Saccharomyces cerevisiae S288C: one gene and its partner. The gene in region 1 interacts genetically with each later gene. Each region holds a gene or a part of one and is shown on either strand. Other genes may lie near its edges.

Evidence for each region. A genetic interaction does not mean that the proteins touch.
Region 2: mutations in YPR089W (region 1) and CWC25 together harm fitness more than expected from each alone (negative genetic interaction), as found in Saccharomyces cerevisiae (2 studies listed by BioGRID).

The regions. Positions count from the first base shown.
Region 1 is NC_001148.4:711,313-714,912, reverse strand, and holds the start of YPR089W (uncharacterized protein), read right to left. Parts: upstream 1,639-3,600; coding exon 1-1,638. Other genes in the region: RNA-binding signal recognition particle subunit SRP54, read left to right, coding at 1,885-3,510.
Region 2 is NC_001146.8:185,602-188,449, forward strand, and holds CWC25 (U2-type spliceosomal complex subunit CWC25), read right to left. Parts: upstream 1,285-2,848; coding exon 745-1,284; downstream 1-744. Other genes in the region: VPS75 (Vps75p), read left to right, coding at 1-748; SUI1 (translation initiation factor eIF1), read right to left, coding at 1,569-1,895; SLA2 (Sla2p), read left to right, coding at 2,450-2,848. UniProt on the Saccharomyces cerevisiae protein: Involved in pre-mRNA splicing.

The DNA.
Region 1 (3,600 bases):
TAAATTAAGAACGTAAGACAAGGCACCAAATATTTGAACAATCTTTAGTGGAGAGGGTTTCATCTGCTCTTCGAATGATGGAGGATATAAATGTCTCAAAATTTCTTTATCATAAAAGAGTGAAACACTAGAATTGTTATCATCATTTGTTGATGCCCTATCATCTGAATCATTCCCATCTTGTTGACCCTCCTCTTCTTCATGATTTTCTTGACCCTGGCTTTTTCGATGAAGTTCTTTCTTTTGTTGTTCCTTTAATTGTTTTCTGTTCTTTTCCTTCAATAAAAGCTTGGCCTGCTTTCTCTTTTTAAAAAAGTTCCAGTCTCTTTTGTATAAAGTTTGTTTAACGTCCTGGATTGTTGTGTATGCTAGTAAAGTTGAATCTATCAAAGAAATCAACCTGCAATGAATGGAAGATGTCAGTTCTATGATAATAGAGTGGATGGTGTTAATCAGCTCTTGTAACACGCTTGGATGCCTCTTGAAAAATGAATCATCTCTACAGAGGTAGTAATAGAGAAAAGATAAACAACTTAACCAATACGATTGCAATACAATGTCACCTGCTTGCAAAGAAGCTTCTGTGGAGACCAATCCTGCAGCTCCGTTGGATGAAACACTGGTCAGAATTTTTGTTAGAGATAAGTTAATTAACGATTCTACTAGTGGCTTGGACTTTATCTTATGATCAGCATATCTAATACATTGGTATATTAAACCAGCTGGATAGGTGGTCATGTGAGGTTCCTTTTGTGGTAGCGATATCAATAGATTCAGGATTTGTGGTATATCAAAGTCGGAAAATTCCAAGTATTGGTCCGGAGATAGTTTATCATAATCAAATGTACCGTGGTAGTCTTCTGTATATGTGGGATCTATTAGGGTTGCAGCTCCCTGAGAATGATTCATGTTCTTTTCATCAGAATCCAGAAACATGTTGTCATTTGCACCAGGGGACAGGGTCAAACCGGCGACTTGTAAGTCAATATTATCAAAAGTTTCTTTCGTGGTAGAGTCTTCATTACTCATTAGAAGAGAGGTGTCTTTCGGTTGGGAAATTTGAGGTATTTCATGTTTTACTTCGGTACGGTATCGAAACATATTGTTTTGTTCCAAAAATTCCGAAAGTGGTGAATATGGAGGAACCATATCCCAAGCGGTTAATCCAGCCTTATTCGTCATGTTGAAGTTTATCTCGTCGAATGCGTTGAACAGCTCCAAGCAACAGTTCCTTCTCTGCAGACTGAAACTCCACATCAAAGGTGTGTAACCTACAATGTCGTCGACAAGATTCAAATCTAATTTTGCACCAGAAGGATTATCATGTAGTAACTCAATGTAGTCTGCACGATCAAATACAATGATATAATGAATCAAGGCAACGCCTGTGACGGATTTATCATTAACGTTTTTGACTTCCCTTAATAACTCCTTGAATGTAGTAAATTCTTCTTCACGGTCTTCGTCGCAGATCAATTTGACTAGTTGTACCCAGGAATCGCATTCTGGTCTATCTTCTTGGTCAAGTTTAAACAAAGTTGATTTTACCAGCGCGAGTTTCTCCTGAGCGTGAGAGGAGCCTACTGGTTTGTCCACCGTTCTGTCCTCTATTCTAGCATCATCCCAAACACTGTTCATTGTTCACGAATGCCTTGTGAGTTCTGTAGACCGGCAATTGCGGCTCTCCTATACTTCAGTCACTACCCATATTGTTATAGTATGATGGTCTTTTCGTTCATCTCAATATCGAAAAATCACCGCTAACGATAAAGACATCAACAAAGTGAAAAAAAATAGTGGTAAAACAAGATAATGAAAAGTGGTTGAACAGCAAGGATGCAGAAGAGAAGGGAAAGAAAACACAGCATCGAGTCTAACTAAAGGATGGTTTTGGCTGATTTGGGGAAGCGGATTAATTCTGCTGTGAATAACGCGATTTCCAATACACAGGATGACTTTACTACATCCGTAGATGTAATGTTAAAGGGCATCGTGACTGCGTTGTTAGAATCGGATGTGAATATTGCCCTGGTTTCTAAGTTACGAAATAATATAAGGTCACAGCTGCTGAGTGAGAACCGTAGTGAGAAGTCCACAACAAACGCACAAACTAAGAAGCTTATTCAGAAAACGGTGTTTGATGAACTGTGTAAGTTGGTCACCTGCGAAGGTAGTGAAGAGAAGGCCTTTGTGCCCAAGAAGAGAAAGACAAACATCATCATGTTTGTTGGGCTGCAAGGTTCAGGTAAAACTACTTCCTGTACCAAGTTAGCAGTTTACTACTCGAAGAGAGGTTTCAAAGTGGGTTTGGTATGTGCGGATACTTTCCGTGCTGGTGCATTTGACCAATTGAAACAAAACGCTATAAGAGCAAGAATTCCATTTTATGGGTCATATACGGAGACTGACCCTGCCAAAGTTGCAGAAGAAGGTATTAACAAGTTTAAGAAAGAGAAGTTTGATATCATCATCGTTGATACTTCAGGTAGGCATCATCAAGAAGAAGAGTTGTTCCAAGAAATGATTGAAATATCCAATGTCATCAAGCCTAATCAAACTATCATGGTTTTAGATGCTTCCATTGGTCAAGCTGCAGAGCAACAATCCAAGGCTTTCAAAGAATCGTCCGATTTTGGTGCCATTATATTAACCAAGATGGACGGCCACGCTAGAGGGGGTGGGGCAATTTCGGCCGTTGCAGCCACAAACACTCCGATTATCTTTATTGGTACAGGTGAGCACATTCATGATTTGGAAAAGTTCTCGCCTAAGTCATTCATATCTAAACTGTTGGGTATTGGTGATATAGAGAGTCTCTTTGAGCAATTACAAACCGTTTCCAACAAGGAAGATGCAAAAGCCACAATGGAAAACATCCAAAAGGGTAAGTTCACCTTGCTAGATTTCAAGAAACAGATGCAAACAATAATGAAAATGGGTCCATTATCAAATATAGCGCAGATGATTCCTGGTATGAGTAATATGATGAATCAAGTAGGGGAGGAGGAAACCTCTCAAAAGATGAAGAAAATGGTTTACGTTTTGGATTCTATGACTAAAGAAGAACTAGAATCTGATGGTAGAATGTTCATTGAAGAGCCTACAAGAATGGTTCGTGTAGCTAAAGGTTCAGGTACTTCTGTGTTCGAGGTAGAAATGATATTGATGCAACAGCAGATGATGGCAAGAATGGCACAAACCGCAACCCAGCAACAACCAGGAGCCCCTGGTGCCAATGCTAGGATGCCTGGCATGCCAAACATGCCGGGTATGCCAAACATGCCTGGTATGCCGAATATGCCTGGTATGCCAAAAGTGACTCCACAAATGATGCAGCAGGCACAACAAAAGCTGAAGCAAAATCCAGGTCTAATGCAAAATATGATGAACATGTTTGGTGGCGGAATGGGCGGAGGAATGGGCGGAGGAATGCCTGATATGAACGAAATGATGAAAATGATGCAAGATCCACAAATGCAACAAATGGCAAAACAATTCGGTATGGGCTAAAGGCCACCATTTGAATATACACAGTATATATATATATGTATGTATGCATATTTCAAATAACTTGTTTAGCTTTCATCCTTTCGAATACCT
Region 2 (2,848 bases), on another chromosome or scaffold:
AGGATTGGCTAAATGCGAAGAAGAAGTGGACGCTATTGAACGTGAGGTAGAATTATACAGATTGAACAAAATGAAGCCTGTTTATGAAAAGAGGGACGCGTATATTGACGAAATTGCAGAGTTCTGGAAAATTGTGCTTTCACAACACGTTAGTTTTGCGAATTACATAAGGGCTTCAGATTTTAAATACATTGACACTATAGATAAGATCAAAGTAGAATGGCTGGCATTGGAGTCTGAAATGTACGACACTAGAGATTTTAGTATAACATTCCATTTCCATGGAATTGAGGGAGACTTCAAAGAGCAGCAAGTCACCAAGGTGTTCCAAATCAAAAAAGGCAAAGATGACCAAGAAGACGGGATACTGACTAGTGAGCCCGTTCCAATTGAGTGGCCCCAGAGTTACGACTCGATAAACCCGGACTTGATCAAAGACAAACGCAGTCCAGAGGGTAAAAAAAAGTACAGACAGGGAATGAAAACCATATTTGGCTGGTTCAGATGGACCGGCCTAAAACCCGGGAAGGAGTTCCCGCACGGCGACTCATTGGCGTCATTGTTCAGTGAAGAGATCTACCCTTTTTGTGTGAAGTACTATGCTGAGGCCCAGAGGGACTTGGAAGACGAAGAAGGAGAATCCGGGTTAAGCGCAGATGGCGACAGCGAGGATGACGATGGCAGTCTCGGTGAGGTGGACTTGCCACTATCCGACGAGGAACCAAGCTCTAAGAAAAGGAAAGTTTAGTAGTCTAGGTCCGGAGCGGGCTTGGACAACGGTTTCCCTCGTTGCGACATTGCTCTTTTTTTTGTTGAGTCTGGAGTTCTTCTTTGTTGTTTAGTTACCTTAAACTTACTCATTGGATCATCTTTAAGCAATTTTGACTTCTTCTTCTGCGAACTTATGGATGTTGCGGCACCAGAAGCGGAAATAGTAGTGGCCGCCCTTACAGGCGGTGTTGCAGGTTGGTTTAGTATAGATGAATCTAGTTTTTTCTTACCTAATAAATAGTCTTCCTTTTCGTCACTCAGTTTTGCATCCTGATACATCCATTCCAAGCCCGACTTCTTCAAAGCCAAGTCATTCTTGAGAGTCTCCGGCTTATCCTTGCTCGATTCGTTCAGCAGTTCATTTAGTTCTCGTTCTTTTTCAATTTCTTTCAATCGCGTGTTAAGCTTCTGCTGTTCGGTAATTAGATCCTGTTCGGTCTCCCATACTTTTTTTCTATTTTTCATAAGCTTGGGATTCCATGATTTCAACAGATTCAAATCGCCCGACCCCATGATAATGTACTCTCGATTTGGCCTTTCTTCCCTGTACTCAAAACTGAACGCTCATCTCTTTTGAGAAGCTGCATGCTACGTACCACTTGTTCTTATATCTCTGTATGTAAGCCCGCGGCGGGAGAAGAAGAAAAAGAAATAAAAAAAGATGAGATGTTATATTATATATTATAGTGTAAATATGCACTTGGACTTAAATAACTAAACAGTTACGTTTTATATAGGATAACAACACTAAGAAAGAAAGCGAGCAGCGAGTAAGCGACTCGGCGTAAGCCTTGAACTTAAAACCCATGAATTTTAATGTTCTTCTTTTGCAATCCCAGTTGGGAGATCATAAATTCGCAAACCTTTGCTCTTTGGTCACCCTGCAACTGAATAATCTCCCCCATTTCTGGATCCTTGACAATGTTACCATTACATGCAAAGTCCTTCTTTAGGACCTTAAGAATTCTCTTTAAATCATATTCCTCTGGGACACCTTGCACCGTAGTTAAAGTTTTTCTACCATTTCTCTGTTGGATACGAATATGAATATAGTTTGAAGTGGCGGTTTCGTCGTCTCCTGTGTCGGCGAAAGGATCAAATGATTTCAGATTCTCAATGGACATACGATTTGCTTCAGCTATATTAATATATTCCTTGTCTTTTTTGAAAAAGAATAGAAAGGAGAAAACCCCCAGCACGAAACGAAAACAACAAGTAGCTCTTCTCTTGTTTTGTCCTTTTGCAGTTTGCTTTTATCCCTGTGATGAAAAAAAAAAAAACTAAAATTTTTTGCCGGCGCATCGAAAAAATCTGTTACCCGACCCGTTATTGGTGATAATACCCATTTTTAACGCGATCACATATCATAAACTGCAGTGAGAGGGTCGTTTACAGTAGTTATAGTACCGAACCAAAAGACTGGAACCATGTACACATGATCCTTTTACGGGTACTTTTTATTGTAATGTAGGTCGGTGCGTTTTGTACGACGACGCAGCGGCTGCTCGTATAAAATGACGCGGTCGCGCGCCGTTTGACGTCCTATAGGAGAATGCCAAAAAGGGTGTTTTGCTGGAAAATATACATATATAAATATATATAAAGAATAGTGAAACAATAGAAATATTAGTAATACAGCCATAGCAGTAGTAGTGATAGTACTAGCAGCTAGAACAGGATGTCCAGAATAGATTCAGATCTGCAGAAAGCGCTTAAAAAGGCGTGTTCCGTTGAGGAGACCGCACCTAAGAGAAAGCACGTACGCGCATGCATAGTGTACACATGGGACCATCAGTCTTCCAAAGCTGTTTTTACAACCCTTAAGACGCTGCCTCTGGCCAATGACGAAGTGCAACTGTTCAAGATGCTTATTGTACTGCATAAGATCATACAAGAGGGACATCCGTCAGCGCTAGCTGAGGCCATCCGGGATAGGGACTGGATCAGATCTCTGGGTAGGGTACATTCTGGCGGTTCGTCGTACAGCAAACTGATTCGGGAGTATGTGCGGTACCTGGTTTTGAAGCTGGACTTTCATGCGCACCATAGAGGGTTTAACAACGGGACGTTTGAGTAC